3 linked regions of the Diceros bicornis minor genome follow. The protein of the gene in region 1 purifies or fractionates together with the protein of each later gene. This does not show direct contact. Links are inferred from orthologs where the notes say so. Each region holds a gene or a part of one and is shown on either strand. Other genes may lie near its edges.

Region 1 (3,745 bases):
GAAGACAGAATTAAAGGAGCTCTTAGAATAAAGTGGGGTACATTGCTGGGCAAGCACACAGGAAGGAAACCTAACACACTTGAAGCTACGAGTGAGGCAGGGGTGAAGGAGTACTTCCCGAGGACTAAGGCAGACTTTTAGCCAGCTGTGTGTGTTTGGGGGAGAGGGGTTGGGAAGACTTCAATAATAATGCCTGGAGCGAAGAGAGATTGAGATATTGGAAGTTTCACTGGGATTAAGACCACAGACCCATCACTGCTCCACTCTATTCTCCAGGTTACAAATGCAAATACGATCTCTTCATTTTTCTGTAAAAGGCCCCCACTGCTTTGAGGATAATATCCAAATCTCTTTAAAATCTGGTCCCAGGTTACTTACCTCTGCAGTCTCATATTTTTTTAACCTCCTCCCTCTTTAATTTTATGCTCCAGCCATGCTGAAATTTTCTTGGCTTGTCACATCCTATTTCTTCTGACTAGAAATCCATCACCCAAAGCTGGATTAGGTGTCACTTCTCTCTGCTCATAGTGCCCTGTGCTTCACCTAATAGATCTAATTTTCTGAAGTTACCACTAGCTTGAACTCCTTGAGGGCAGGAAGTAGTTTAATTACAGTTGTATCCCAAACATCTAGCCTAATGTCCTAATGCCCAACTAATTTTGAATGAATGAAGGCTGGCTTTATTGCAGAGTTGGGTGGAGGATTCTGTACTAGACCTTAGGAGCTTTGGCCTTCAGACTGTCTCTTTGTTACTAGTTTAAAGGTTCATTCTAGGGCACGAAGAAACCATTTAGGTTTAAAATCACTGAAGTTCAAAATTTAGGATTAGGCATAGATTTATCTGAAAAGATCGACACGCTCAAACTGATTAACGTCCGTCAGTCTTTTATTTAAAGCAGACACGGTCCAGACTACCGCTTCACGGAGCGTACCACCCGCCTAAAAGCAAACGTGGGTCTAGTCCCGGGATTTTTTTGCACGTAGACTCCGCCCACGGGCCCCCAAATGGCGGAAGAACTGCACGCTACGTCCCGACATCTCACACTCTGCGGAAGCATCGCGACGCTACGCCGGCGGCGTAGGCGTGGCAGCCGGCTCTTCCTTCCTCTCTGCTTCTTCGGCTCCTCCCCCAGGGCTTCACACGCTCATTGTGAAGCGACAGCGGCCGCCAGCCTCTAGGGCTGTTTGAGACGTAGGGACCTTAAGTCCTTGGCGCGCGTGAACGCCCGCGCTGCTCCTTTCCCATTCTAAAGGCTAAGGGCGCGAGGTTCACCTTTCTTTATTTCTCCTCTCCCGCCCTGTGCTAACCGCCCAGGTGCGCGCGGACCTCTCGCGCCGCCGCTACCTCCTCCCCGCCCCTCCCCCGTCGGTGCTCCCGCCCGCGCGCTCCTCCCCCCTCCCCTTTCCCCGGCGACGCGCACGCGCGCCAGGCCGGCTCGCGCCCTCTCGCTTTCCTCCGGCCCGCGGGACCCCCTCCCCTTCCGCCTCGCGGCGCTTCCTCGCGCCGCGGTCTTCTCTATCCACCCCTGACACCGCGGGGCTCCCCCCGCCCGCCAACGGCGGGTCCCCAGCTTCCCAATCCCCCCTCGCTTCCCGCGCTCCCCGGCGGAGGCCTAGCCCCGGTCTCCTCTCTCCCTCCCTTCCCCCTAATTCCCCTTCCGGACGCTGCCATCATGCTGAAGCCTCAGCCGCCACAACAGACCTCCCAGCCCCAGCAGCCGCCCCCCACGCAACAGGCCGTGGCCCGTCGGCCTCCCAGAGGCAGCAGCCCTCCCAACGGCGGCCTCCCGGGGCCCCTGGCCTCCACCTCGGCTCCCCCAGGGCCTCCCGCGGCCGCTTCCCCCTGTCTGGGGCCTGCAGCCGCTGCCGGGAGCGGGCTCCGCCGGGGAGCCGAGAGCATCTTGGCGCCGCAGCCGCCGCCGCCGCAGCAGCAACATCAGGAGAGGCCAGGGGCAGCGGCCATCGGCAGCGCCAGGTGAGGAGGGGTGGGTTCCCGGGCGCTGGAGCCGAGGCTGCAGGGCGGCGTTGGCGGCTCGGTTCCGGGCCGGCGGCCGGGAGCTGAGTACACTCGCGAGGCGGGCCCCCATTTCTCGCCACCTTTGAGGGGCACCAGGGTGAGTGGGGGACTCCCCGTGAAGCTGGAGGTGGGCCCCCCTCAGGTCCTAACAGGTCGGAGGAAAGGGGTCCCGGGGCGGCCACCAGGGCATTTAAGGGCCGTGCTCAGCCCTCAGAGCCTAGGTAGGGCTCGGGGCCCGGGCCTTAAGGGCAGGCAGGGCGCATCCCGTCAGCGCTCTCGGAACGAGGAGTTGGGGGGGTGAAGAGGTGATCGGGGTCCCCGGCTCCATTACCGCGAAGGGTCTCGCGGTCCCCGGCTTCAGCCAATGGGGAGTCAGCTGCGGGAAGGGGTCCCCGGCCGTAGCCAATGGAGGGGGGCGCGCGGCCCACAGTTTGGCCAATGGGGAGGGAGGGACTTGGAAGCGGGTTGCTACCTCCCCCTTCCCAGTCTGACCAGTAGGAGGGGAGCGAGATGGGCGGGGGGACGGAAGGAGGGACGACTGGGAGGACTGCGGGTCGGGAACCTCCAGCGCGCGCGCGCTCTTCCCGTACGTGCGCGCGGATGCTCTGTCTTATGACCCAGGCTTTCGCGAGCCCCGGGTAACAGGGCAGGGGCTGGGAGTGTGCATGGAAAGGTTTGCCTGGTGGTCGTGGATGAGTGGGCGACACCCCACTCGGTTTCTTCTGTGTGTGGGTTAATGGAATTGAGAGCAGTGGTACACGCAGGCGCATGGGGTTCTGATCGCGGGAGGGGAGGTTTTGAAGAGGCCCGTGGGCTTTAGTGCGCAGGCGCAGACCGGGCGAGGCCTCCCGGTGGATGGCTTTTGCGGCTGCGCTGTCCCCCCGGCCCCGCCAACGGCCCCCTCATCGCCCTCTTCAACCGCCGGTTACATCAGCCAGCGAGGAGTAGGGTTACCGGGCGATCGGTGACCCCTCCCAGAGTGGGTAGCAGACTGAATGAGTAAAGAGGTCGAGAGGATGGGTTGTAGAGGGAATACCTTCCTCCCAGGGTTTGGGGCATAAGGCTACTGAAAATGTCTTTTCTGTTTGGGAGGTAATGTGGCTGAGCTAGGTAGTTCCGATTCTGCGCTTTTGAGCTTCCACCTTTCCATCTGGGCTGCGTTATTGGTTACTGAATACTGTAGTATTGGTCTGTGGGAAGCATGTAGCCCCTTGGAGAAAGTGAGAAGGTTGTGTTGAATTGCCTCTTAAAACAATTGACAACCGTTATTGATTGAGGTTTATTTTACTGGCATTTGGAGAAAATGTGTTTAGTAGCTTTTGATGCCTACACCTTTCTTTCTCTATAAGGTGAGAGTTTGAAAATCTTATTGCTTAATTGGTTTGTAGCCTAAATCTGCGTCTTCACCCAGTGTAGGTTTTAGGTATGGTTGTAGGATACCTAGTTCTTTGAATTTAGTTGTGTGAGAGAAATTGAACGTATTTAAATAACTAGTTTCTTGTTTGTCTTATAGGGGACAAAGCACAGGAAAGGGACCCCCACAGTCACCGGTGAGTGCCTTTTTCCCCCCTCTGAGGTACAGAGACCTGAAAATGTATATGTGGGAATATAGGACAGATTAAGTGCAGAAATAGTCAGAGGTGGTCAGGAGGGAACGGGGCCCAGCACATCCAAGGTGGGTGTGAGTGGAGTGTGGGCATTTAGAAGGAAGGTGAGATGTTGACTATT
Region 2 (3,745 bases), on another chromosome or scaffold:
TAGGACAGGGCTGTAATCCCAGTATCTCCTGGGATTTCAGCCTTTTAGCTGCCTTAGTATGTAAAATGCTTAGTATGTATTTAGCAACACCTAAGTACAGAACGGGCAAAGAAATAGACTTTTTCCCTTCTGTGGAGGCCACGTCCTATTTTCTCTACATCCCACGGCCTAGCACCCAGTAGGCCCTGTAATATATATTATTTTGAGCTGTTAGGATGAATTTGACCTTCTCGGTGGAACTTAAAACATCCATATCCTAGGACGGGTTAATAAACAATTATAGATGAGTTTAGGGTGCAAACAGCTGAAACCACTGGCTGCATTTTATGCTTGTCTACAGCAGCAACCTGCAGACGCCTAGTTCAGAAAGAAAATTACTAAATTCTCTCCCTCATCACATTAATAATCAAAAGGAACCAGAAATATCGGTCTCCAAAAGACAGCGCAGCAGCGAACCGGCTCCTGTTCACGCGCGATCTCGAGAGCGGCGAGGCAGGAGCAGTAGAAAGGCAGCCCCCTTGTGACGTCAAATCAGCGGACTCTCGCCCCGGCTTGAGGCCGGTTCCGGTTCCCCGACTTTCCGGGCGCGAGAGTACGTGAGCGCGGCGGCGTTCTGCGCGTGCTTCGCAGAGGGACGCGAGAAGGTTGGGTCCAGCTCGCGAAGGAGATGTGTGATTGGCTGAAGCCGTGCTGGGGGGTTCCCCAGGCCTTTCGGCAGGGGTAAAACAATAAGAGGGGGCGGTGGAAAAGGGGGCGGGACGTCCGTGTTCCTTGTCGCTCGCCGCAGCGTCTGGCCCCCGGGAAGAGGTGGTTGTAAGGGAAGCGAGCTCGCGGCTTTCCGGCTTCCGAGGCTTGAGGTTTGGCGGACGGGGGAGGCGGCAAGCGAGAAGAATCCGCGGCAGCCGGTCCTCGGCGACTCTCCTGCTGATCTCGGCGCCGACGTACCCCCTCCCACTGTTGGTTGGAGGTGTGTACGGGGGCCGGGAAGGGAGGTCGGTGTGGTGGTCGGAAGGGGACATTCCCTTCGCGCGCCGCGGCTCGAGGCAACCGTCCCGTGAGCCCTGCTGTCAGAGGTGTTGCGGCAGAGCGAGACATTGTTCTTGCCGGCTGCCTACGCTGCCGTGTGTGCTTGAGAGAAGCCGAGCCGTTCCTCTCAGGTGAAGGATGGGAGGCCGCGTGGGAAGGGAAGCGGCCGGCCCGCGTTGTGCGGACGGAGGGCCCTGAGGGCACAGGTGGGGCCGGGGTCTGTTGGGGATGAGGTGGCGAGCTGGGAAGGGGGACGCAGCGGCTCCCAAAGGCGCGCTGATGCAGGCTTAATGTGGGACGTGCGGAGTGGGTTTTCTGGAGAGGATGTTTTAGGGTGTGGAGCCCACCAGCCTTCTTTCCGACTCATTTGCGTCTCTTATTGCCGGTTCCCTGGGAGCGGAGAGGCCGTCGCCGCCCCGCCCGTGGGGGAGGGGACAAGAGGCTGTGTCGGCGGAGGCAGAAGCGACGCAGATGCGAAAGTAGCGGCCTCCGGGCACCATTTCTGTGCACCGAAACAGAATCCGGGTTTGAAGGTAGTCGCCGCTCTGGTTATCCAGTATCTAGTGGTCCGTGGTCTTCGACTCCCCTCGGGTTTATCCCGAACGTGCTCAGAGATCCGAATTACATATAACGTAACGCCTTCTTCGTGCCCTTTTTATGCAAACGTTCCCTTATTGACCCAGGAATCGAAAAGATGTTTGAGTGCTTTGGGAAATGGGTTTTTTTGTTTCCCTCTTTCTCCACTTTTTTGGGGGGGAACAGAAAGGATGGTCAAGAGGAGGAATATACGCTTCCCTGAATTGTGTTGATTTTATTAGTCGAATATGATGGAATTTTACCTGCTTCTCTATAAGCAGATTTCCTAAGATGTCCCTGTGCCGCTTTGGAGCAAATATAGATTTGCATCAACCATTTTCCGCATAGATCAGTTTTTTTCCTCTAAGGTATATCTAGTTTTCTTAACAGGTTTCTTTTTTTTTTGGAAGGGAGGTGCCGTGCCTTTGCTCTCTTTAAAACAAAACAACAACAAAACCCACGTGCACCAAAGCTGGAATAATAGCAAAGTTGTTTCCTCTTTCCCCCCCCATATGATTGTTGTGATATTAACTTCAGTTAAAATGCTGGTTTTTTAGGTTCAGGGCTCCACAATTCGTGCTAGTCGTCCAAATGTTAGCATTGCGTGTACCTGGATCTGTGAACCATTAACGGCAGTTAGGAAGCCCCGTATGCTGGAGGGGAAGAAGATAGGAATTCCTTGTTCAGCTCCATATTTGGCAGTTCATATAGCTTTAGGCGTGTGAACGAAGTTTCAAAGTAAACATTTGGCCCTGTTAGTATTCAGTGGTCCTTTTGATATCCAAAATTCCTGGTGTTAAAAAATGGACCGTAGGATTAGTTTGAACTTCTTGGAACTGAATTTTGTTGTTTCTTTGGTGATATTATTTTCTTAAATTTTTAGGATTAGTCATGTGTATCCTTGTGTTATTTAATCTCTAGAGGCTGTTTAATTTTGAAAGGTTATTAAGGAATTGTAGGGAGGATGAGGACCTCCAGTGGATTGCGTACTATCTAAGAGCTGTTATGGTTCAGGTTGTTGAATATTTGAGGTTGAAGTATTGGTCAATGAAGAACAAGTATTGAGAGTGAAGAGAACCAGAATGCTTGTGGGGTGGATGGGGATCAGAAGTACAGAAGGAAGGAGAAAAAAATAAGTCTTGAATAGTTTGATAGTCGAATTGAGTATTTAGTTAGCAGCTGAGCAGTTGATTTGTCAAAAGACAACTCTTGATTTTGAATAGTATCGGCACTGTTGGTAGCAGGAATTTCACTTGAGAGGTCAAAAATGAAAATTTCGATATCAGTTACTGGAAATCTATAAGTACTAATAGTGCCTTTAGTTTTTTAACAGCTTCCTTATGCTGCAGAATTATTGCTGTTGATTAACCATTATCAGGATTGAAAATTCTTTCATAGGTTGCTTTAAATAAGATTTTTTACCGCATTTTTTGCTGAGTGGGTATGGAGGTGGGGAATGACCCTTTTTTAAGGCTGGTTTTGAGAGGTACAAACTTAAGGGTTGTTTCTGAACTTAAATTCAGTAGAATTTAATTGACAAACATAACTTAGTTAATCTCCCTGTGGAAACTTAAGAGCTGATAAAACAAATTGGTTCCTTTCCCAGAACTCTGGACTGGCTTCAGAAGCAGTAGAATCAGTTTCTTGATTGCTGCCTCAGCTTATTTTTATCTTTTAATTTCTGGAGATTTTACCCTATTTTGATATACCATGGTAGCTATGTTGGATTGTAGTATGGATTGTGGTATTGTAGTATGACTCTCTTGGATTCCCTGTTACATTCCTGTTCTGTGCTTTTGGCTCCTCCCAACAGTATCAGTATGCTTACAGTTGGACTTTAAAGTTTTTTTGTATTTCTGTGTCCCTGGCTATTCTTCCAAAGCAGTTGTTCTTAACCAGGTGTAGTGAAAACATCACTAGAGGCAGGAGACCTGATTTCAAACCCTCTCTCTCATAACTATAACTGGGGGACCTCGAACTCCTTTCCTTAGGCTCTCTAAACATTGGTTTCATTTTCTGTAAATGAAGCTAATAACTTACCTATTTCAGGGAGATAAAGGAATGTGTAGGTTACTTGTTAAACTTTAAAGCATAATATAAATACATGCTTTTATTTTTGTGGGACAGCATTTCCGTGTCTTAA
Region 3 (3,745 bases), on another chromosome or scaffold:
TCATTCTGGAAAGAAGACTGTTTCAAGTACAGGGGACAGCAAAGGCTACAATAGGGCTTGGGGTATTATTTTTACTGATCAACATGAACTCTGGCTGAACTGAAGAATCAACACAGCGATTTGGGGGATCCCAGATATCAATTTGTACGTTCAAGATTAAAATATCCTAAACCTCTAATTTTGTTAGACCTCAAAATTCAAACATGAAGACAAAAATGAAGCTCCAAGGCAGTGCTTTTCATATTTTTGTAGGTCATGAATTTCTCTGAGAATCTGAAAAATACTCCATATCTTCACCCAGGAAACACAAATACACAATTTCAGGAGGTTCACAGGCAACACCCCTACCCAACCCCACCAACAACATAAGTTCACACGTGGACTCCAGATTAAAAAAAAAAAAAAAAAAAATGCCCTCTTTGACAAAAGACAAAAGTGAGCTCTCAACTCGGGGCATTAAGATGTGTCTTAAAATCTTCTGAAAACATCCAGGAATAAAGAGAAAAACTAAACTGATATATTTCTTAAAAAGATATCAGAACAAACAATTATAAGTCAATGAAAAAATGAAAACCAAACAATGGACAATGTCTGTATCACCAAGAGTCAATGAGACTCAATTTTCCCACCATTTTGGAGAGCCAGAACTGCCCTCAAGTCCTTACCTTACTAACATTGAGTGAAGCTAGGGGAGGAGGGGTTTCTGTTCGGTCATTAATTATTTCCACTTCTGAAACATACTGTAAGTTTATGAGCAAGATGTCTGCGTGGTTGGGCTTTCCACTGGAAGAGGGACATTCTGGTGAGAAAATAAAGTTAAGGAAATAGGGGCAAGCAGAGTACCAACACATCCCAAAAGGGGCATGGAAAACACAATTCACACAAGGCTTGTGTAAAAGGTGTGCCACGAGCAAGAGGGGGGAGCCTCACGAGAATCACAGCTCTCCTCAGGAAATCTCTGCCTATCACCTTCCTCCCGCTCAACCCCATAACCAAAAGAACTCAACCTTTTCAAAGCCAAATACAATCCAAAATTGGAAGCCTCAAAAGGGTTTCTGTCACTTTCTCTCTACCAGTGTTATGGAGAGGAATAATGCAGTTTCAATACCATGTGTATACTGTTTGTCTTGAACCTAATGAACCACAAATGACAGGCACTTTCTGTTCTTGCCATAATACTCCCTACATCTATAGAGTGCTCTTTTCACTTTTTTAGATTTGAGATTTCCCATTTTGCAGAGGGGAAAACTACAGTACTGGAAAGGAAACTCACTCAAGGTGACCCAGCTAGTGAACCCATTTATTCATTCATTCACTCACTCATTCTCCAACCATTTATCAAGAGCATACTGTATGCCAATGAAAAATAGAGTTAATTCCTCATTCCAAAACGCTTCCAACTAAACTACTAATGTAAAGGGTCTTATTTGGTCCAGGTATGAATTCCTGCATTAAAAAAAAAGCAAAAAAAAAAGTAAATGTTCTTGCTGTAATTAGCTTCAGAGAACATCCTCCTAATAAGCTAGAAATCTACTAATGGTTAAATGAATTAAAATACTTGCCACTCAAATGCAGCAGACTCAGTAGGAAACTTCCTTTTGAAAGAAGCCATAAAGGATTACGCCTCAAAAAAAAAAAAAATCCAAATAAACCCACCTGTGGCTCAAATAAAAGGGGAAGGGGTGGCACATTTATTACAACCAGGAAGTATTTTGTTTCCAAGATTGAGTTTCCTGGAGTAATTCAGAAATCACTTCCACCCCAAAGAAGCAGGCCACCTTTTCCATTCTGCTTAACACTGCCAATTTCAAAAGGGTAGGCTACTACCATGGAAAAGTCAGAATTCCATGTGCTGAGCTAAGCAAGAGAAGATAACTTACTCTTTCACCTGTAACCCACACATCCCTTCACACGCCCCTGAAAAACATGGTCCTTTCCCTGGACCAGGTTTCCAATGCAAACATCCCCAAAACAGCAATTTTCAAACGACTGAGAAACCTAAAATTCAGCACTCCCCGCCCCCAACGGCACCACGCATACACACGCACCAGCAAAACAAGCCCCTATCCCCAGTTCAGATACAAACTCTGTCCTGCCGTTACACTCCCCCAAAACAGGCGAGGCCCATTTGCTCACCACCCCGCCGCCCTCCCTTGGACCAAATCCCCTCCTAAACTCCACACCCTTGCCCTACTAGCAGTTCCTTACTCTACACACCCCCTCCCCACATGATTTTATCCGCCCCCCTTCCATCCAGGCTCCAGTCCACCAGCCCCCTCCGATGACCACCCCCTCTTCTCATCACTGTGTTCCCTCTCATATCGTTCCCCCCGAAAAGCCATCCGCGTGTCAAGCACCCCTCCACCCATCGACCCTCGCTCGGGGCCCAGCTCCCACAAGGGGTGGGAGACAGGGTCCCCAAAGCAGACCGACGGACCCGTGCGAGGGGGAGGGGAGCTCACATCCGTGCGCATGCGCTCGGGGTGCCGCGGTAGCCGGTCGCCCCTAGGCCCGGAGAGGGCCCCAGCCGCCGCCGTCGTCCCCCACCCCGCCACCACCACACATACACGCTGGCCCGGCCTCGGGCTCCGCGCAAGGAAGGATACTTAAAGCCAGCATTTTGGACTGGTAGTCGAAGGCTACCACCTCGCCCTGCAGCCGCTGCTCCTGGCACGTCCGGCACGACACCTGGCTCCCAACGCTGAAGTACTCGCCCGGAGGAGCCGCCATCTTGGGAGAGCAGCCGCGGCCGGCGGCGGCGGCGGCAGCAGCGGGCGAAAGCCGGGCCCCCAGTGAGCGCCGCGCCGCGACGCACGGGGCGTGCTGTCGTCACACGCCAGGGCGTGGCCTGGTGCTGGGGGGGGCGGGAGCCTAGGTAGAAGAGGAAATAAAGGAGAATCTGGATAATTATGTTTGTGCAGCTGCGCCAGCTTGGTAAAGTGCTTGCAGGGTCCATTTTAGAAGTTAAGGATAAATGACCTACGTGGAATGAAAAGGGAAAGGAGGAAGGAGCTGCAGTCTTCATTATGTGCACACCTTGACACAAGAGTTTAATGAATGAACTCTATATTTTACATACGAGGAATCCGAGGCCCAGAGGACTTAACGAAACTTGCTCAAAATGATTATACCTAGTTACAAAGTGGTAGTGGAAAGAACATTGGCTATAGAATTAGCTAAACCGGATTCGGAATCCCAGGTCTGCCACTTACTATGACCTGGAGCAAATTACTAAACCTGAACCTTTTGTATATCATTTATTGAGCATCCAACAACGCTTTGAGGTAAGAATCAATATCTTCATTTTACAGGTTAAGAAACTAAGTCTTAGAGAGACTAAACTTGTCCAGGGTCGCACAGCTAGCAAGGATTCAATCTACCTTTTTCCAAAGACAGTGCTATTTACTGCTATACTATATTAGATAATACCTCATAGAGTAGTCAGGAGGTTAAGTGAGATAATATGTACAAATGCATGGCATGTAGTAGGTCTTTAATAAATAGTAGTTCCTCCATGATCACCCATCATCCTTGGAACTCAAGATGCTTCCCCATCTCCCCTCTTGCCCTCTCCTCTAGAAAGCCAGGCAAAAGGCAGAAGCGAGGAGCAGTGGTAGTGACAAAGAGGGCCTTGGGGCAGGATTTTGGGAGTCCCCTCCATTAATGTCCATCTGATATACAAAACAGTTTCTTAACGTGTACTATGCAGATACATTTTCAAGCTCTACCATCACCAATTGCCACC

What was found.
Region 2: the proteins of ATXN2L (region 1) and G3BP2 purify together in Homo sapiens (affinity purification with mass spectrometry; 4 studies listed by BioGRID and IntAct, counting the BioPlex papers as one, with this or other methods). This does not show direct contact. The link is inferred for Diceros bicornis minor from reciprocal best matches to the Homo sapiens genes ATXN2L and G3BP2.
Region 3: the proteins of ATXN2L (region 1) and LSM12 purify together in Homo sapiens (affinity purification with mass spectrometry; 4 studies listed by BioGRID and IntAct, with this or other methods). This does not show direct contact. The link is inferred for Diceros bicornis minor from reciprocal best matches to the Homo sapiens genes ATXN2L and LSM12.

The regions. Positions count from the first base shown.
Region 1 is NC_080765.1:22,122,476-22,126,220, forward strand, and holds the start of ATXN2L (ataxin-2-like protein), read left to right. Parts: upstream 1-1,190; 5' UTR 1,191-1,673; coding exon 1,674-1,975; intron 1,976-2,595; exon of another isoform or gene 2,596-2,617; coding exon of another isoform or gene 2,618-2,655; intron 2,656-2,682; exon of another isoform or gene 2,683-2,996; intron 2,997-3,017; exon of another isoform or gene 3,018-3,089; coding exon of another isoform or gene 3,090-3,109; intron 3,110-3,123; exon of another isoform or gene 3,124-3,366; intron 3,367-3,530; coding exon 3,531-3,567; intron 3,568-3,745. UniProt on the Homo sapiens protein: Involved in the regulation of stress granule and P-body formation.
Region 2 is NC_080747.1:61,142,494-61,146,238, reverse strand, and holds the start of G3BP2 (ras GTPase-activating protein-binding protein 2), read left to right. Parts: upstream 1-884; 5' UTR 885-967; intron 968-3,745.
Region 3 is NC_080757.1:42,705,748-42,709,492, forward strand, and holds the start of LSM12 (protein LSM12), read right to left. Parts: upstream 2,768-3,745; 5' UTR 2,731-2,767; coding exon 2,607-2,730; intron 800-2,606; coding exon 666-799; intron 1-665. UniProt on the Homo sapiens protein: Nicotinic acid adenine dinucleotide phosphate (NAADP) binding protein. Confers NAADP sensitivity to the two pore channel complex (TPCs) by acting as TPC accessory protein necessary for NAADP-evoked Ca(2+) release.